2 linked regions of the Stegostoma tigrinum genome follow. Each later gene encodes a partner of the first gene's protein in a complex. Links are inferred from orthologs where the notes say so. Each region holds a gene or a part of one and is shown on either strand. Other genes may lie near its edges.

Region 1 (10,532 bases):
ATACATGAGGATCAATGGTCGGCACAACATTGTGGGCTGAAGGGCCTGTTCTGTGCTGTACTGTTCTATGTTCTATGTTCTATGTTCTAACTAACTGAACATTGTTATGTCTAGTATAGATCATGAAAATTTTGATAAATTTACCATAGGCCCATGTTTCACATAAACTAAGCACCAGATTGACCTGCTCTATTGGGTAGCGACATTTGCAAAACTGAATTAACAGATTTGGTTAACAGTTATAGAATCAAAATCAATTTACAACAGAAGTTTTTTTCTGAGGTACAAAGTAGTCCTAAAAATTGGTGCTGTTCCCATTCATCCTACGGATAAACTACCAAACCATGACCGTTTACTGTTCCCAATCTGATCCAATACCAAAAAGATAGCTAGAAACAAACCAGATATGCTTCCATAGCTTCACCAAAAGCGATTCAGTTGAGTGTACAGTCCTAGACAGCCAAAAGACTAATTTATTGTTGATTTTCCATTCATGGAGTAGACAGCATATTAACGTAGATAAAATAAAAATAAACTTTTTCAAGACACTGCACACAAAAAAAACATTTCAAAAGCAGGTTTTAAATGTTTATTGCAAAGAAAAGAAGCAAAGTAGGGATTTGAAAGAATGGCATTTGGCAGAGTGAGATCACAGAATTAAAGACATTTACAGCATAGGAGATTATTGATTCAAAAAGATTGGACTGGCACATTGTTTGGGCCAGCATGCAAGCATAACAGCATTTGCTAAAAATTGGGTGAAATCTGGATACACAGACACATTTGTCATATCTAGTTTTATAAGAAGGAAAAGAGATGAATCAGTTAATAATGAAGGGCTGAAAGCTCTTTTTGCATTAGTCTTAACAGCCTGGGATAAGAAGCCTTTTCTTTCGTTTATTTCAAAGCTAGACTGTACAATTACAGTATCATCTATAATTAATGAAGCCAGTCACTAACATATCATTCACGATTATCTCCCCATGAACATAGTTGAATGCCTCCAGTGTGTATAAATGTGTATCATAACACTGCAAACTTCATACTTCTATACAAAGGAACCCAGTGAACTGCAGTTGTTGGAAATCAAGTTGCCGGGTTCTGATGAAGGGTCACTGGACCTGAAAATGTTAATTAGGCTCTCTCTACACAAACGCTGCCAGATGATTGCTGGAAAAACTCAATCATATTTTTATACTTCATTCCACTATACAAAAGAAATATCTCCTGTCAGACACGAACAGTGGTACAAATGCAACAAACTACAACGGTCGCTAAGAGATTTACGTACAAATTAAGCTTCCACACAATCTGTCATGGTGCTTACTGTTAGACTGTATCCTAATGTGCAAACTTTCAGAGTTAATTGCAAAACTAGGGTTGATCTGTTAGACCACATGGAGCTCTTGGTTCATCACTTTGGTGCAAATCACCCACCACAATCTTATACCAGACCGCTAGATTGGGAAATAATCCCCAATACGGTTGCTTTTGTCATGCAATATAGAAAGCAATATGTTCTGCTTCCTTACTGCAATCATTTTAAATTATTGTAGAAACATAAGATAAATAAGCATTGCAAAAACTGGAAAGAATATGCTAATATGTAAATGTTACAAATAAAGTTCGTAGAAGACATAATTATGAAAAAGCTCAATTAACAATTTGCAAAGGTATTCAACTTCAACTAGTACTAAATTTGAAGATATAAATCTGCACACAACTTCATTAGTCTTCAAAAGAAAATTGGAAATACATTAAGGATACTAAGTACTGGGCTATGGGAAAGAAAGACAATGTTTTTTTTTGCTATCATTCACTCAGTCAGCTCAGAGACCTCATTCAGTGTTGTTATTGTGACTATAGTCATGTATGTTGGAAATCATAGAACAACGCACAGAAAAATCACTGTCTGCTCTCTCCATGCAAACTCTTCACCAGAGTTAATTACCTCAACCCCCTCCCCTGCTTTTTCCTGAACCCGGCAATTATTTCCCTTTTCAGGCACTAATTACATTTGTGAACCCTAGACAAAGATAAACCGGTTGAATTTTCTGCAGAACATTGCCACTTCACTTATTATATGGAAATTCCTGCCAGGAACTGTTTTGGATAAATATTTTAGTTGACTATTCATCTGAAGCAGCTACAGGTAAATTAAGTGGGGTGTGTCCCTATAGACTTGTCCTCCATTGCAGGATGACGAAAACAGCTTGTGAAATAACTTAGTTACGAATACAGCTTATGAAATACCTGCGTGAATCACAAGCTCCTAACATTCACTTTACTAAATCTGATCATCTTATCTCAGACCCCCAAACTGTAGATCAATGAAAAACTGGGCAAAGTTCTGCTGGGATAGGAGAAGCAGAATGAGGTATTGATACCGGAGGTCTGTTCGCTAATGCCAGTCTACTCAAATCTGACCTTAAGTGTAGGTTAACATGAATATCAGCCACCCAGGTGGGCAAAACAAATAATTTTTCTGGTCGGTAAAGCAATCAACTTTGTTTTGAAAACAGTTAAATAAATTTCTTATGCAAATAAGATTGACATGAAAAATTAATTCCATAAAAAGAAAACACATTCCAGCTACAAAGTAAAATTTTAACCCTTACTATCAACATTACTGAAAATGCTTATTTATCCAAAAATGGCTTTTATTGAATTTGACTATTTCAGGGATAACCAGACTTGCTGGCAGTCACTCAAGCTGTGTGTCTAAGAATCGACCAGATATACAGCAGGTCTGCTGCTATCACAAGCAGCATTCAATCTCCCTGCCCACCTGGGTATAAAACTGGCATCCAGGAAGCAAAAACAGACCTTTGGAGACAAAGCTTTTACATGGGGCAGAATACAGAGGTCAGAGATGAGAGTGGGAAAGAAAGAGCTAGAACAAGTAATTTCACTGATACATATCCAAGGTAAGTTCACCTAAACTGAATGGCTACATTAAAACATCGAGCTTTTATCCTGAAAAAATGATAAATGTCTGAGTATCAGTATCAACACAGGCATAAATCTAACATTAGTAGATAGATGGGCCTTGCCATGTAGCAATGGAAGAAATATAAATAAGGAAGTAGCTTCCAAAAGCAGCGCGTGAACAGACTTCTCATTAATTTAGTGAACTACAATTTGGATGGCGATTCTACTAACACAACACTGACACGATGGAAAATATATTGCATTGCTGGAACTAAAATTATGACCAAAAGTGAAAAAAAGTCCTACGCCATTAGCCCCCTGCTGAGCACGCCCAATCGGAAACACTGGGCGCTATCATAATTTTACACTCTTCTGCTGCCTTACCTGTTTTTCTCCCATTGCCACTCCGTCTCCCTAAGCGATGATGTTGCTGCTGTTGTTGTTGCCGGCGTTGGGTCCCCACGCAGCCTCCCATCAATGATGCCCTTGACCCAGGTGCGTCTCACCCACTAACCGCAAACCCACCTGAAGTCTGGGAGAAACTCGCAGCAAGTCCCCTGGAGCTCATGAATTCATTTTCTTAAAGACTCGCCGTCTATCCCCTCCCAAAAAACGCACACAAAAGAAATCCCACGGTCCACCTTTAAGACCCACCAGTCCGTGCAAAGTTTGGATCCAAGATAATCCCTAACCCACCCCAAAACCCCAGTGCAAACACAGAACTACCCCTCCTCTCTCTCCCAAACCAAGTAACAGCCCGTAACCGGGGCAACCAGTCGGCCCTCACCTACTTTACCTGCTACTGCAAAACTACACCAACATCTCTCATCGCTTCACCAACCTTCCCATCTCAGCCAATAAGGCAGGCTCTCTCGCGCTTTCTCTCCCTCAATGTCACAAAGCAAAAGTTGGTCTAATCTGTGAACATACAATTCTGTCTAGCTTCACTCCATATCTTTCGGAAGCTGAACCAGCAGTGACACTCCACTACCAGCCTTTCCCCACCTGAGCGACGTTACTATCAATGTACACCCACCGGCCCAAAGCGCCTGCGCCGTTGCCTTACCCCGCCCGGTGCACGCTGGGTAACGCTGGCCTCCCACACCTGACGCGCGGCCCACCGCGCACGCGCACGGGCACCTGCCACGCCCCCCCCATCGGCGTACTCTTCCTTAGCAACCGGATGCCAGCCGTTACTAAGGCGACCCCCTGAAACTAGAAATGGGGGAAACTTTACTCTGTGCCATATAATAAGGACCATGGGGTAATCTGGGTAACATCAATTGTTGACTAATTCAGAGCTCCAGTCTAAAATCTTGAGTTCGAGTTTAAAAGATTAAAGCAATTTTGAAAGAATTAAATTTGATCAGGGGTCGCAAGAACTGCAGATGCTGGAGTCAGAGACAATACAGTATGGAGCTGGAGGAACAGATTTCTGATGAAGGGTCTAGGCCCGAAGCGTCAGCTTTTGTGCTCCCAAGATGCTGCTTGGCCTGCTGTGTTCATCCAGCTCCACACTTTGTTATCTTGGATTCTCCAGCATCTGCAGTTCCTATCATCTCAGGAAGAAGATTAGGCTAGTCAACTTCTCAAACCTGCTCTACTATACAATTATATGACAGTTTACCTTATTGTAATCTCAAATCCACATTCCCACCAACCCCAATAACTTTTCATTCCCTTGCTTAAAAAGTACTTGTCAAGGTATTTCTTAAAAATATTCAAAGACGGCATTTTCAGGAACAAAGTTCCATTGTTGCTATACAAATTCAAATAATCATCTCTTTAATTTATTTTTTAAAAATGACGATTTGATCAAATTTACAGACAATACAGTATGGAGCTGGAGGAACACAGGAGGTCAAGCAACATTAGAGGGGCAGGAAACTTTCTGATGAAGGATCTAGGCCCAAAATGTCAGCTTTCCTAAGATGCTGCTTGGCCTGCTGTGTTCATGCAGCTCTATACTTTGTTATCTCTACTCTTCTTCCTGATTTGTACATCATGTGCAGGGTTACATTGTGAAGGCAGAAGGGGAATCGGTTAAATTAAATACACATAGGAACTGCTGGAGAACCCCAGAAGGTTTGACAGCATCAGTGGAGACAGAAACATGGCTAATATTTTAAATACAGTGACTCTTTAAGGAACTAAAGAAGGAAGGAGTGGGTTTTATTCTGTTGCTGGGGTTGGGTTGGTGGGTTAAGGCAACCACAGGGGCAGGTCAGGGAAAGGTTAAGAAGATTTGAGACCAAAATTAGTATGGAACAAAATGCAAAATTTTTATTAATAGGCCAAATGGCCTCCTTTATCCTTTCATGGGATGTTGAGCATCACTGGTATTGCCTTTTTAAGAAGAAAACTGACAGTTCACCACATCATTGTGGCTCACATTTAGGTCAAATCAGGTAAGGATAACACATTTCCTTCTCTTTTGGATAACCCTTGTAGCAATATTTCCATTACACCACCACCTCCCTCTTCTGCATTGTAATTATTCTGTGATTTGAGTATTGTTGAAAAAAAAATCAACTTTGACAAAAGAAGAATTTTTATACTACTTCATGTCTGCTTTTTCAACAATACTGAAGCTTTGGACAGCCAAATAACTGCGTGAGTCCGTTAAAAATGTTTTATCTTCTACATTGAATTCAGTCTCTGTTCCCTTTGACTAACAGAATTAAAATCAAAGCTGTCAAGTGAAGGAGTTTCTCTGTGTAGTCTGCAGAGTAATGAGCATGTGATCTGTGCCATTTGCGGTCACGTGACATCCAGCTCGTGGCGCATGCGCGGTTGAGTGCAGCAGCATGGCCGCCGACATGAGGCTGTTAGGGCTGGTGGAGGAGTTTGTGAGTGGGTTGCAGGACGGGGCTGCCAAGGACCTAGCTACAGGTAGGAATGGAAGTGAATGGTGCTGTGTACAGCTATTGTTGTCTGGGAGGACGAGCTGCTGATGGAGGGGTCCCGGGCGAGGAAGTGGCGCCGCCCGTCTGGCCGTGTCACCCTGGTAACGGCGCACGGACCCCAGTTTCCTGACTGGAATCTGTATCTCTTCTGCGCTCGACAGCCCTCACGTAGGCCTCCCCTAGCTTTTCAGGAATCTGTTCAAGTAATAAGCTGAGTATTGAGCAATTCCCTAGGCAAAAAAATTTCAGTTTAAGGTTTGTCTGAAAAATGGCCAGTGTAATGTTTCAGCACTGCCAGAGTTTCTCGAGTTGACCATCAATTTTGGGAGGTTGGCATCTCTGAGCTAATGTTGAAGCCTAGAGATCTAAACTTTATATAGGATATAAAACTGTCTGACTCTTCTTTTGATCTTAACTCCAATTTAGTGTTTATTTACATGTAAGAACATTAAAAAATGCACGTGACCATACAAACCTTTGAGCCTTCACCACCATTCAGTAAGACTTTCTACCCTAACTCCATCCAACAGTACACCCCCCCGCCATGTTTATCTTTATTTTTTTTAGTATCCAAAAATCAATATTTCTCTGTTTTCAATAAAGCCAATTCTTAGAGCATCTTCTAATTTCTGAAATGGCCTACCCTTTATTCTGATAACAGTGATTCCCTTGGGGGAAACATCCTCCCAGAATATACCCTGTAAAACTCTTCAAGAACTTCAGGGTTCCAATAAGATTTTTCATTTTTTTAAACCCCAAAAAACATGGGCCAAGTTTACTGTATCTCTCCTCTTTGGACATTTTCCTCACTCCAGAAATCACATTTAATAAATCTTTGTTGCACTCCCTTGAATACAGATATATCTTTCGTTGAATAAGGAGACAGAATTGCCCTCACTGGTAACCTAGTGACAGTAATTTTGGGTTTTTAATATCTAAATGGATTGAGGCTCTCTTCTCTAAGTTTTTTTTGATTGTGATAAAGCAATGTCCTGATCCCATATTTCAGGCTGCATCTAAGTATGCAAGCTGATTCTTTCAAAGCCAGGTGGATAAAATTAGTTTTACTGAAATTCTGTTTTCTACATTTGACCCCATGATCCTTCCAGAATGTGTTCTTCTATGTTCCTTTGGACTCAGTACTGCAGTCCTTAATGCAGAATGGCCATGTTTAGAACCAGATTCTGAGGAACTGTTAATTTAGGGGAGCAAACTTTATTGGGAAAACAGAGAAAATTGGAGAGGAAAATAAACATTTGTCACTTTGAATGAGAAGCATTTAACAATTTTATAACCGTTCTTGCAATTTAGCTAGAAATACTAAAAATGGCATTTTTAAAATTTGTCTATTGGTAGTGAATTCATTTATTTGTTTTCGCTGACTTTCCCCATTATTCTCATTGAAAAAAAAAGCTATTATGTCAGATGGGTTATCGGTTTCAAAGTGTCAAATTACCTTTCATTAAAATTGATTGCAGGAACTTGATGCTTCTGGATCCAGCAAAACAGTCAATGATAGATAAGACCTTTGAATTCCAAATAATGGCATGCTTTACTGGAATTTCACAGATAGCAGTAATGTGGTATTGATTTGAAAATTATTGATTCACTTAACTTTCCTTGTGGCTGGGAGTTTAGGGCTCTTAAACACCGCATCCACCAGTGATTTCTGCCTTGGGGCAGCAATCTATTCTTAATGTTGCACTGATGTATGTTGCACTTCTTAAAAATGTGGATGTTATGAAATCTCAATTAAATAATAACGTTTGCGATTAGTAATATATACAGGATGGAGAAACTTAGATTACAAATTGGAAAAAAAACTTTCCCTTGTCACAGTCATCGTCATACCACACAGAAACAGACCATTCAGCCCAACCAGTCCATGCTGACCCTAGTCCCACCCGCTTGCGATTAGTCCATATCCGTCTTATTCATGGACTTATCTAAATGTCCTTTAAATATTGTAATTTTACCTACATCCATGAATTTCTCTGGCAGTTCATTCCAAACAAGAATAGCTCTCGGTGCCAAAAATGTTGCCCCTCTTTTTTTCTTAAACAATCTTTCTCCTCTCAGCAAAAGATATCCCCCCCCACTCCTTGTCTTGAAATCCCCCATCTCAAGGGAAAGACACCTACCATCACCTTTATGATTTTATAAGCTCCGATAAGGTCAACCCTCAACCACCTATGCTCCAGTAGAAACAGGGGTCCCAGCTTCTCCTTATAACTCACATGCTCCATTCCTGCTGAACTTTTTCTGACCTCTCTCTGGCTTAATAATATCCTTCCTATGACAAGGCAACCTGGACTGGACGCAGCACTCCAGAAGATGCCTCGCTTAACGCTCCCTCGTTATTTTGCCAGATCAAAAAAGTTTTGACAATGTAATTTTGCTTTTTTGTGAGCATTTCTTCTGTTGTTTGACTCTTGGCAGTGCTCCTACAAGAAGTTTGGAAGAAGAGTTATATTCAACTCAAAGTATTAGCTCCGTTCCATATTCCACAAATGCTGCCTGACCTGATTATTTTATATATTTGTTTTTTATTTCAAATTTATACCATTTGTAACAATATAGAATCCCTAGAGTGTGGGAACAGGCCATTCAGCTCAATGAGTCCACACCAACTCAGAAAGGAGCATTCCACCCAGATTCACCCCTCATCCCTGCACCCCCATCACCAATCCACCTAATTTAGCCACCCCTGGACACTATGGGTAATTTCGTATGGCCAATTCACCTGACCTGGACATCTCTAGACTGTGGGAGGAAACCCATGCAGACATGGAGTGTGCAAACTCCACACAGAGTTCCTCGGGGCTGGAATTAAACATGGGTCCCTGGTGCTGTGAAGCAGCAGTGCCAACCACTGAGCCACCCTGCCACCCTATTTCTGCAAGTCTTGTCTTTTCAAACTATAGTTCCAGGTTTACATACTGTTTTGCTAGCCCTCAATGTTAGTCACCACCTCCGTCCTTACTTAACTCTGGTATTGAGGTTAATTGCTGCATCTTTACAGTTGAGCTTGGTTCTGTGAATGTTATTGATTGACTGGCACAGTGAACAAAGCTGCTGTTCTTGAAAAAGTCTGTGGAATCTTTGATATTTGTCGCAACTGAGAGTTACGTGTTGATTGCATTGTGCACTCCGCTTCTAAGAGTACAACATTCATAGGAATATTTTGTTTGAAAACCTTTGAATTCGGAAGATATCTTTTCTACTTATTTGCAATCACAGATATATTCAGGAACAACAACAGATTTGATAAACACTTTTTGGTAGCTTTTACCCTGAGGAGGAACTTATTTGCGAGTTTGGGCTGATATGACTAAGCAGTGTTTTTCTTAGAAAGAAGCACACTTCCATTTCTAAAGAGACATAGAAACACAGAAAATAGGAGCAGGACTAGGTCTTTTGGCCCTTCAAGACTGATCCATCATTCAATACGAACATGCTGATCATCCCACTCAGGATCCTCCCTAACCCATGGATCATTTTCGCTGTAAGAAATATATCTAACTCTCCTTTAAAGCATTCAATGTTTATGCTTCCAGAACTTTCTGCAATTGTGAATTCCACAGGCTCATCACTCTCAAGTTTGAAGAAATTTCTCCACTTCTCAACTCTTAATGACCTACCATGTATTCTTGGACTGGGGCCCTTGGTTCTGGACTCCCAGGTCATTGGATATCTCTTCCTTTGGTTTGCCCTGTCTAGTCCTGTTAGAATTTTAAAGGTTTCTTTGCCCCGCCCCCCCTGCCCCGCCCCCAACTCTGGTGGATATAGTCCTGTCCTAACCTAACCAATCCAATCTCTCTTCATATGTCAGTTCTGCCATCCCAGGAATTAGTTTGTTAAACTTCTGTTGCACTCCTTCCACTGTCAGAATATCCTTCCTCTGATGAATATGCCAGAACAGCACAGAATGCTGCAGGTGTGGTCTCACCAAGGGCTGGTACAATTGCAGCAAGAAAGAGATCCCTGCTCCTGTGCTTGAATTCTTTCGCTATGAAGGCCAACATATCATATGTATTCTTTAATGTCTGTTGCACCTGTCTGCATACTATCAGTGATTGGTGTATGAGGATGCCTACATCGAGTTGTATTGCCTCCCCATTCCCAGTCTATCACCATTCAAATAATAATCAGCCTTCCTGTTTTTGCTACCAATGTAGATACCTCACATTATACTTCATCTGCCATACATTTGCCCGCTCACCTTGTCCAAATCACCAAGATGCAATTGGGTTAAGGAAACCACAGGGACAGGTCAGGGAAAGGTCGCTTGAATATCCTCACAACTCCCCTTTCCACCCAGCTTTGTGCCATCTGCAACCTTGGAGTTACTACATTAAGTTCCCTCATTTAAAATATGAACATCTGTTGTGAATAGCTGCAGTACAAGTGCTGCTCCACTAGAGTTGCTGCCTGTTCAAATTCAAACAATGGTGCATTTATAACATTAAATAATTGCCCATTTCCCTCTCCATTTGTTGAATTTCGAGACAACCAGTTAATTTAAGTTAATTTAAGTTGATTTAAAAGGGGAGGATGCTGAAGAGAGGTGGCTGTCCTGGGCAAAACTGGGTTGGGAAGATAAATCTCAGTTTCTTCTGTGCATATTCCTGGTTTGTTTTTCAAGGAAGATGTGTGAAATAATGCTCATCTTAAGTGTTACTCATGCAACCACCC
Region 2 (11,104 bases), on another chromosome or scaffold:
GTGAAAAGGTGGGTTGGTGGAGGTCCGAATCAGGGTCCTTCTCAAATATCCGGATTGCATCATCACCGCATGCAGTTGCTATTGCATCCGTCATGTGACACCTGAAAGAAAGAGGCAATGTGAACAGGTTGCTCAGCAGTTATTGTGCTAAGACTTGATGAAGATGTTCAAGATCAACGGTTTTGTATCACAGTGCTTAGTAATCAAGTAAACATAGATGTAGGTTGCTTGGTGAAAAGCCAGAAAGAGAAAATGTTTTCTTAAATGCACCAAGTCAGCATACAGAAGCAACAGATTAAATTTAAAACTGGATAAATAAATTTGGAGAAACTGGCTGAAAAGTGAATTCTTCAATGGATGGCTCCACATGAGATCAAAAAGAGGCATTGAGCCCAGTGTCTCGCAACTATCCTGTTTCTTCTCACCAGTTAGAATGAGGGTGGTGTTGGTGTGACAGTCATAAAAGCATTTGAAATGGGGAATTTGCCATTTGAAAAGGTTACTGATGGAATTATGTCTTTGAACTCACCAAGAAATGTCATAGATAGGGCGACTGTGGAAGCCAGATAGAGTGCAGATACATTTCCAAGAAGGATCTGATCCACTGCATATCACGCCTGCACCAAAAAGATAATGAATTAGCAAGTCCACGTGAGACTGATTCCCACTGCACAATCAAAACGTTGCAATGTTTCAGGTTGGAAGGACATTTGTAAAATATGCAACACTGTTTTGTCAACAATACAAAAACCTTTAAAGAGGAATCATTTTTAATTGGCCTCTTGAAATATTAACTCAAAAGCCACCTCTTCTGTGACCCAATAACCTGAGACAGAACGGGATGGACTGAAATCTTCTCTTCTAACTGTATTCCAAGTTACAAGCCTCACTTCCAATCAAGATTAGAGAACAAGTCTCTAATACGACTCGAGGTGATGGTGATGAAAATTCGTGGGTCAGGAGCCCTGGCAGTTGAACCAGCAGAGCCCAGCACGGGAATCCACACAAACAGTAGTGGAATACTTTGTCACAGCTACAGCGGGGTCTGGAAGCTCAGGGGATTTGGGTGTCCAATGGAGTATCCGGTGTCAGGTTCTTTCCACGCTGAAGTGTTATTACACACAACTGATTGCTTCTTTTACTCACCACTCATCACCCATCTTCTCAATTAATCAGATTACTGACAAAGCCCAAAAACAACAGTGTAATGTGACCAAAAGGTGAGGGAGGGGGTTGGGTGCCATGGAAGGGATTAAATCAAAATCAAGTTGAAGGGGGTAGATAACGCACTCCACCCTGCAGTTGCACCTCTCTCTGAGGGTAAGTGTCATGAGTTTTAAATTTAAACATTTCACAAGATGATATGATAATTATAACATCATGCTCAGTTCAGTTACTCTACCTTGTTCATTTCCAGGCCTGTATGCTTTCCAGACTTTAACAGTTTTGTCATCACTGCAAGATACCAAATGCTCTCCTGTTTTATCAAATGCGATGCTCCAAACTGTAGACTCATGACCTTCAAGAGTGTTAACACAGACCCAGTCATCATCTTCCTCCTTATACAGCTTAATGCTGTTATCATAGCTTCCAGAAGCCAGGAGCTAGTGTTGAATTCAAAATACACATCCACAATTACTTGTGCAGTCCTTATTATGTCAAGTCTTTGAAAAGGTACGTCAGTATCTTGCTCATAAGACAACATATCCAATCTAAATCAGAAAACACGGACATTGCAAATAACTAAGTACAGCAGTTGGAAATGTCAACGATGTCGTTCTTGTGAACTCTTACCTCTCCATTTGGGTGCCAAATTACATGTTTGACATCCTGGGTATGAGCATTCAGTACACTTACACACTCATAATCATCATCTTCATCCACTAAAAGGCAAATAAGAATGTCATCAATAGTTTTTGATATAGAGTCCTTACTCCGTGGACTGAGCTGTAATCCTTCAACACAGTACACTACCAATTTCAGACAGCTGAGAGTCTGTGACAGGCCTATAACAGGTTTATAAAACCATACACAGCATTTCTGTTAATTTCCCCATCAGTAATAAACAAGTCATAACATCTGCATGATGAAACAGGACAAGGAACTGGTCCTGGAGTCTATTGCATCACCTGATTAGTTTCTGAAACTGTTAATGCAGTTGGAACATTATTCTTCAGTATCTCAGACTCAATCTCATCATAAATCAAGTTTTGCAATGGCCACACCTTTTGGGGCAAAAGGGAAGTTACATGTTTAAACAGTGCTCTGGATGGAAGTTATGTCTTGGTTTAGCCAGTGACTAGCCCTGAAATGTTAACTCTGAATTTTTTTTCCCCGCAGACGCTGCCAGATCAGCTAAGCTTTTCCAGCATCTTCTGTTTTTGTTCCTGATTTACAGCATCCGCAGCTTTTTCAGTTTTTATGTGAAATCTGATTCTATTTGACTCTTGCATCCACTCAAGGTTTATTGTGCCTTTGTAACGTTTTTCTCCCATCTACATTTTTTTATGTCTTGTGCTTCGTTATCATTGAGACAATACATGATCTTTAAAGGAGTTGATGGCAGAGGGTTGACATCATTACAATCGGAATTGACAGGCCAAGGTCAACGTTCTGCAGAATGTGGGTTTAGAACAGGACAGCCAGTCAAATTTAAATTCAGTTAACAAAATATGGAACTGAAAACAGATCTGAGCAACAGTGACCATAATACTATTAATGTGTGTATTAATTTGATGGATGATTTTTGGCTATGGAAACCTGCAATTCTTACTAGTTCACCAATCACAGTCATTGAGTCTTAACAAGTTGGGACAGCCCATGAAAGAATACACCCTTTATACAAATTATCAATATCGTGGGTGACTTTTAAGGCTCAACAGCCAAGACATATCTCATTGAATTATGCAAATTTCAAGTATAAAAGAGGCTTTCCAGCCCAGCATGTTTGTGCCAGCTGAGTCTGCTTTTAAGATTCAGAACTTCAAGTGCATCTCCACCAACTGTTTAAAATATTAAGCGGTTTCTGCTTCTACCACCATTTAAGACAGGTGTCTCGGGTGCTTTTTACAGAATGGCATTTTCAAAGGGTATTCTATGCAAAATATCTTCTCACCTTCCCAAACCCATACACTTTTATCCCGGCTGCAAGTTGCAAGGAGATTGCCAGATGGAGCCCAGGCGACAGATTTCACTTCATTCTCGTGTCCTTCCAGTGTTGTCAAAAGCTATGAAAACAAACACTAGGCCTGAGAAACAAACGCTCAAACTTATACCGAGTCCATTCCATTCAAACAGTTCATAGAAGACCCAATGTAACTAACAACTTTATCTCATGTTTTAAGCTGACACAAGACTCAAGTTATAAATAAAACTGCTGCCAGAAATGTCGCCAGCATTATTTTGAAAACATTATTTCCAAAAGCCGTTTCAGAACGCAACGATAGCAGTGGGTTTGGCAGGGTGTTCTGCTCATCTGCGTCTTGCAGACTGATAAAAGCTGTACAGCATGGAAACAGACCATTCAGTCCAACTCAGCCAGATAGTCCAAATTAATCTAATCCTATTTACCAGCATTTGGCCCATATCCCTCAAAACCCTTCCTATTCATATACCCATCCAGGCACCTTATAAATGTTGTGACTGACCCAGCTTCCACCAGTTCATTTGGCAGTTCAATCTGTACACGCACCACCCTGTGCATGAAGAAGTTGCCCCAAGGTCTTTTAAATCTTTCCCCTCTGATGTTTAACGTATGCCCCCTAGTTTTGGACTCACCAACCTTGGGTAAAAAAACCTTAGCTGTTCACCCTATCCATACTTTTACAAACTTCTATAAATAAGGTCACCCCTCAACCTCTGACATTCCAGGGAAAACAGCTCCGGCCTATTTAGCATCTCCTGATAGCTCAAAGACTCCAACACTCGCAACATCCTTCTCTTACTGACTAAAGATCTGTCTCTCATTCTCAAATACGTTTAATAACCCAATCTTGACAGTTGTCTGCAGTGAAGAATTTCACAAATTCACTAGCCCAGGGGAGAAGAAATTCCTCCGTTTCTGTCTTAAATGAATGATCCTTCATGACAAGATTCTGTCCTCAACACCTATTCCCCAATAAAGTGATTTTTTTAAATTCATGAACAGGGTAAGGGCATCACTAGCTTGACTGCATTTATTGCCCATCCCTAATTGCCCAGTGGGCAGTTAAGAGTCAACCACATTGTTGGGGTCTGGAGTCACACGTATGCCAGACCAGGAAAGGATGGCAGTTTCCTTCCCCCAAGGACGTTAGCGGACCAGATGGGTTTTTCCTGACAATCGACAATGGATTCACGATCATTAGATTCTTGATTCCAGACATTGAATTCAAACTCGACCATCCGCCATGGTGGGATTCCAACCCAGGTCCCCAGAACATTATCAGAGGAGCAAGAAAGTTTGACGTTTCGTGTCGGGTCTCGACCTGAAATGTCAAACTTTCCTGCTTCTCTGATGCTACTTGGCCTGTTATGTTCATTCAGCTTCACACCACGTTATCTCAGATTCTCCAGCATCGGCAGTTCCCACTATCTCTCCCCAGAACATTATCTGGGTCTCTGGATGAAGAGTCCAGCAACAAAAACCATGAAGCCATCGCGGGAGTTCAGAGTGCACTACCTCAAATGCGGCCTCCTTCTTCCTCCAGATGCAGGTGGTGGCGTCGAAGCTGACCGAAGCCAGGTAGGTACCGCAGGGCGACCAAGAGACCTTCCGCACGGTCCGCTGGTGCCCATCTTCCAGGAGGCACTTGCACAGCCAGGAGGCCCCTGGGGGGTGTGGAAAAACAAGAGTCGGGAGAATGAAATGCGGTTGTCCAGGCCTCGTACCCCCCGCCCCGGCAGATCAATCGGGAAGCCGCCCGCACCTTCTCTGGCCCAGATACGCACTGCCCGATCGCCTCCACACGAAGCCAGCAGCGTACCGCTCGGGCTCCAGGCCACATACCAGGCCCGGGAGTCGGGATGCGCCAAGAAGCGGGACTCGAGCGTCAACCGCCACTTCATCCCAGGCGCGCGTGTGACCTCCCCCGAACCAGAAGCGCCGTCGCCACACCCACTCCTGCTCCGGATTGGTTAGAGGTCTTGCCCGTATCCAGTTTCTATTGGCTAAGACCCCCGTCCATCAAGCGCAGATATCACCAATCACCAAGGCGCAGTCTGGCCCAACAATTCAGACGTCACATCCGGATCGAAAACGGATGCGAAACTGATGGCTGCGCTGGAATCGTTTATTGTCGTCGTCGTCGTCGTCCGTTACTGATATCGGAGTTTCGGTGGTTCGTTGTTCTCTTGTGGCGGCCCAGGCCGGAAAGGACAATGTATGGACCTGCGGGAGCCGGTCTGTCAGGATCACGCCGGCGTTCCGGAGCTGGGGGTGCTCTACCGAAGCAAACGGAGCGGAGTTTGGCGTCGGCGGTGCCGGGCGCGCTTTCGGTGACTGCGCTGTGCACGGCGCTGGCGGAACCGGCCTGGCTGCGCGCGCACGGGGGTATGTGCCCGCGGCAGGAGCTCGGTGTTGCGGATGTCCTGGGACGCCTGGACTCGGCCCTGCTGGAAGGTAATGAACTGGGAAGGTAATATGTGAGCGTAGGTGGAGACCGAGAGGAGAGGGCGGTGCTGACGCTTCGGCTCGGTATCGTCGGAATGCATTCCGTATTTCCTCTTTCACTGCCTCGATGTTGGACATTTTAGTTTCTCAAGATTGTAACTGTGTCAGATTCCCTGACCACACTCGAAGGATAAATTGGGACTTGTTACTTGTCCACGATACCGAGGGAAAAACGCGCATTTCACGACGACGAGGTGTCCCAAATCCGGCAGCGCAGCAAATAAGGTCCCAGTGACCAGATCGTCCGAAACCCTGTGGGGGAGGGGGCCATTTGGTGCCTCGAGTCAATACAGTTCCTCCGAAGAACATCCCATCCAAACCCCGCAACTTTATCCCTGCAAGCCTGTATTTCCCATGGCTAATCCGTGTAGCCTGCACATCCTTGGTCACTACGGGCAATTTAGCATGGCTGATCCAAATAACTTGCATATCTTTTGGATTGTGAAAGGAAACTGGAGCAGTTGGAAAAAAGCCAGGCAAACCTGGTTAGAATGTAAAGTCCATACAGATTCACCCGAGGGTGGAATTGAACCAGAGCTCCTGGTGCTGTGAGGCAGCAGTGTTAACCATTGAACTACGTGATACTTTAATACCAGATACTGGTCAGAAGTCGAGCGATTTATTACTTGTCGTTTGAAATGGTGCTTTGTAATATGTGTTGTCCACCTGAGAGAGGCTCCATTGTGTCTAGAGGGCATGTCAAACCACACAATACTCCCTCAATTGAGCAGTGAAATGTGAATCTTTGTTGTGAGTCCAACAGTGGACTTGAGCCCATAACCTCTGACTCAGAGGCAAGAGTCTGACCAACAAAGTACCAACTGATAAGAAATAAATTGCTGGAAAATTCCAGCAGGTCTGGCCACATCTGTGGAGCAAAATCAGTGTGACCATTTGGGGTCCATTGACCCTTTTCCAGAACGCTGCCACAGAAATCCATTTGCAACATGAATCTTGACATAAGGAGGAAGATTTTCTTCCCTCTGATGTTAAACAATGAGTTGAAGTTAGTGGAAAGTTACAGTCATGGTTTTTAAAAAAACCTTCTGTTTTATTTTAGTTTCAATGATCTTGAATTTTGCTTGATTGTTGATTATTTGGTGAAACGGCCTGACACTCAATCTTTTGGTCTCCAGATTACTGTATGAACCATCAGACTGTGCTCCTGTTGCGGGTCATTGGTGCCTTCTGTTTCCTGGGGATTATTTGCAGTTTGTCTGCTTTTCTCCTTGATGTATTTGGACCAAAACATCCAGCTTTGAAGATTACTCGTAGATATGCCTTTGCTCATATTCTCACAGGTATGTCCAAGTGAAACTAGATGTTTGTAAATGTGATATCTTGATCTGGCTTTATTTTTAACCCTTAAACCACCATTATGCAAGGTGCTTTTGAAATGATTACATCCTCAGAAGGAAGATGTTTCTACTTTGTGAATCAGCATTTGTGGCATTAATATGAAGTGCATAAGTACTTGGTGACTTCCTCCTTCAGCTCTGCTGCTGAAGTGCATGAGCAGGAGGCCCTTCATTAGCATATTGTTTTTTTTCTTTTGAGTACATATTTTTTCCGTCTTTCTAAATGAAACATGACTGTTGATGCTGTAGATCTGAAACAAAAATGAAAATTGCTGGTGAAATTCACGTCCAGTAGCGCTTGTGGGAGAAAGTAGAGTTCCTGTTTCAAGTCCCGTGACTCTTCATCCAAACGTTCTGAAGAATTGCTCTTAATGTCCTCTAAGTAATTAGGGATGGGCAATAAATGCAGGCTGAAGCAGAGAATGCCCATGTCCCATGAATTATGTGAAAGAGCTGTTTGCCTGTGTTTATTATTCAGAACTGACTAATCATAATTGTTCTGCCATTGTTTGGTGCAGGGTTGTTCCCTTTCTTCATAAGGGGTGATTTGGCACTGCAGTAAACATGAATTTCAGAGAAAAACTCCAAGCGAACAAAGAATAATGCAAATAAATAACTTAAAATGGCTGTAAAAATGTGTCAAACATCAGATGTTCAGCTTTTGGGGTGAGAATCAGGATAGGGAGTGGAGATTGAGCTTGGGCTTGGTTGAATTTAAAACAAATATCAACCAAAATACTCAGACTTGGTATTGCATGCTTCCAGCTGACTTCAGTGGAGTTAGGAGAAAAGTGGGCATCAGGAGCAGGTTACATTTAAGCTTGTGCTGTTGCAACCCGCTTTGTGGGTATGAAGTTGAAAAAAGGAGAAAATGATTTCCGTGTACCCACTTCGCTGTGAACGTTTACCTGTTTACACCTCAGTTCACTCGGAGACAAGATTGCAGTCTTACCCTAGTGTCCTTACTCCATCTCTTGTCCCCTTCCAACCACTTGTGAGCACTCTCTTTGCATGTACAAACTCTGTTGATACACATCACTACCCTTTCCTACTCCAGTTCATGCTACCCCACATGCGTCTTCCTTCCTCCTTTTTCCCGGTGAGAATGATGGCTTTGTTTGCTAGGCTTCCAGTTAGACCCCAGTTGTTTCCCATGTTTCCTGCTGATTGGTTCACTAAATTGTCTGTACTTCGAGGAGCATCTCATTGCATAACCTTCCAATTCTGTTTGGAATCCTGGCAACAAACCTTATGGTGTTGAAGCCTGGTGGATAAGGATGAATTAGCCATGAGTTCTGTTCAGATTTTGTTCTGGCACCCACCATCCTTGCTCCACTCACTGTCTTTGTTTGTTGTTTGCAGTTCTGCAGTGTGCCACGGTGATTGGATTCTGCTACTGGGCCTCAGAATTAATCCTCGCACTTCAGCAGCAACACAAAAAATATCATGGTTCCCGTGTCTATGTGACCTTTGCAGTTAGCTTTTACTTAGTGGCAGGTGCTGGAGGAGCATCCATTTTGGCGACGGCTGCTAACCTCCTTCGACACTACCCAACTGAGGAAGAGGAACAAGCACTGGAACTGCTATCAGAAATGGAAGAGAACGAACCGTATCCAGTGGAATATGAAATTGTCAACCAGTTCCAGCCTCCACCTGCCTACACACCCTGAATCTCAGGGCACGTTATTTTCTCATCTCAAGTCTCACTTCACTTGACTGTTCAGACATGTTCAGTGGAATTCTCAACCTCAAGCACTTCACTCCAACGCCGCCTCATCCTTCCTGCTTAGAGGCCGAATCCTCTGATCATCTCAACTACAAAAATGTTGGTTATATTTTCAGTGAATCAACTTGTTCAGACATGTTATGGTGCTTGTCTAGGATAGGTGATACAAGAACCTGGGTGTTCTAGCTCAGAGGTAGATATACTACCCCTGAGTCACAAGACCCTACGAATATGTTTTTGTGCTGTTGAGGGTTGATGAGACCTTTGAGTAAGTTGGAGTTGACTTCTCAAGTGACCATATTTGTAAAAGAGGCAGTACCTTTTTCACTTCGGAAGGCTGTATTTGAACATTTGTAAAGTTGAACATTTTATAGACTTTAAAACTTTTAATGCTTTAAATAAACTACAATCATGTGCTTTTGTTATTACATTGCTCTGGAAGTATTTGAATTAGTCAAAACAATTTGATTCTAAAACGTGTTAGTGTTCTTCCAAAAGGATTTGGACATTTTCTGCCCATAAATCAGTATTGCAAGTTGCCGCAGTCGAAAGGATACTGTCTCTGATTTCTTAGTCAGAAAGTAAGCATCTGCTTGTTTGCACCTTAGCCTTTAATCACTTGCACATTTTACAGCTTGCCTCATTTACACAAAGGAAATAGTTTTCAATTATTCAGTAGAGAGATCAAGGGAGTCTTTCAGAAATCTTTTGGGGGCAGGGAAATTTACAGTTCACATTATGGAGTTGTCATGCTGCTGAACTGACCAACTGGGATTTGTTTACCTTCAGTTTGGTTGCTTTGCTTGAAGTTTTTGTTCCCTCTCCTAATTACATTGGAAGAGGAGTTGAAAGGACTAAATTAGATTCTGAAGAATCTAATCAGGTTTTAGAATACTACAACACAAAACAAATTCCTAGTGTGGCTTCATAAAGATGTCATTACTGCCACATGAACGTATATGGGCAAATTTTGTCTCATTTAGTCATATGTAAGCAAAAATGTATCCCAGAGATAGCTTTCAAAGAAGAGGGAGTTGATGACAGAAATCCCAGACTTCCCCATTTGGTGCCTAACCTGAACATGGACAAAAGAAATATCAACACTTGATATTCCAAATTAGGTGCCATAATGTCATGGTTTACTGAAATCCATCTATTGGCACAGCTGGACTGTTATACTCCTTTTGGTACAAGTGGAAGGGTTACACTGTTGAATGGTAACATCATCAACAAAGGATTATTTTAAATAGAGTCTTTGGTGTTTTACTGATTCAGAGCATGCAAAGAACATATTTGCACTTGGAGGTACTGTAGCTGTCATCGTAACAGTTTGTTTTAATGAGAATTGTGTCTCATCTGAAGTGGGATATCTAAACTTGTCTTTGGATCTAGAAGACACTATCCTAGGCAAGGTACTCTCCCTTCCTCAAGTCACATTAAGTTCAGATTTGAGGAAACAAGATGCCCTGCCTGAGCAACAGTTCCAACTGTTGTCATTTTTTAGGCATGCTGTTGTAGTAAATGACCAAAATTAAACTGCATTGTCAACCAAAAATACACATTCATTTTGTAGAAACGTTCACACCCTCAATCATTTCCTGTGGACCTCTGTTTCTGTTTTAACATAATCTCTTATTGACTTTGCATCTTGAGCATGAATGCACTTTATGATAGATGATGTGAAGGTGAACTAACAAGAACAACCCTTGGTGAGTAACATTAGATTCAATAGAAACACCTAAACCCCACCCAACTTCGACTCAAACCAAAATCTTCCAGCAATGACTTGGGCAACTGTTTATTTTATCAAGCAACAGCCAGCAGTTGAGTAAGTATTCCCCCATCAACGTTACAGAAAGCTACAGCACTATTCCCAACAAGCTCAGAACAATGGGGCTTAATCTTCTCAATTATAATCAGCTCTGACTGATGACAGGCAATAAAATGCAGAGAATTGGTGCCAAATCCTTAGCATGCTATCTGCCAAAATCAATGCATTAGGATATAAAGATGTGCAAACGTTAGTACAGCTGTACAGCTGATGACTTTTAATAAATATGGAATTACAAGCTAGCTGCGTCACATTTTTGTAAATATCCCCATTTATTAACGACCTACAAAACAAAACTTAATTTGTAGGACAAGGTCATAAGTCACACGACACCAAGTTGTAGTCCAACAGGTTTATGTGAAATCATGTGCTTTCAGACTGCTGCTCCTCCAAGTGAAGTTCATCTGACTGAGCAGTGCTGTGAAAGCCTGAGATTTCAAATAAACTTGTTGGATGAGAACCTGGCGTCATGTAACTTCTTACTTAATTCATCCCAGTTCAACACCTGCAGCTTCACTCATAATTTAAATAATTGGCAA

The links.
Region 2: mms19 (region 1) and ciao1 share a complex: the UniProt entries of both Homo sapiens proteins name them as parts of the MMXD complex. The link is inferred for Stegostoma tigrinum from reciprocal best matches to the Homo sapiens genes MMS19 and CIAO1.

What each region holds. Positions count from the first base shown.
Region 1 is NC_081373.1:12,314,414-12,324,945, forward strand, and holds the start of mms19 (MMS19 nucleotide excision repair protein homolog), read left to right. Parts: upstream 1-5,719; 5' UTR 5,720-5,738; coding exon 5,739-5,823; intron 5,824-10,532. Other genes in the region: ubtd1b (ubiquitin domain-containing protein 1), read right to left, coding at 3,316-3,406. UniProt on the Homo sapiens protein: Key component of the cytosolic iron-sulfur protein assembly (CIA) complex, a multiprotein complex that mediates the incorporation of iron-sulfur cluster into apoproteins specifically involved in DNA metabolism and genomic integrity.
Region 2 is NC_081393.1:10,326,568-10,337,671, forward strand, and holds the start of ciao1 (probable cytosolic iron-sulfur protein assembly protein ciao1), read right to left. Parts: upstream 5,101-11,104; 5' UTR 5,047-5,100; coding exon 4,908-5,046; intron 4,810-4,907; coding exon 4,661-4,809; intron 3,228-4,660; coding exon 3,116-3,227; intron 1,884-3,115; coding exon 1,795-1,883; intron 1,605-1,794; coding exon 1,403-1,604; intron 618-1,402; coding exon 530-617; intron 102-529; coding exon 1-101. Other genes in the region: tmem127 (transmembrane protein 127), read left to right, coding at 5,359-5,599, 6,787-6,951, 8,371-8,678. UniProt on the Homo sapiens protein: Key component of the cytosolic iron-sulfur protein assembly (CIA) complex, a multiprotein complex that mediates the incorporation of iron-sulfur cluster into extramitochondrial Fe/S proteins.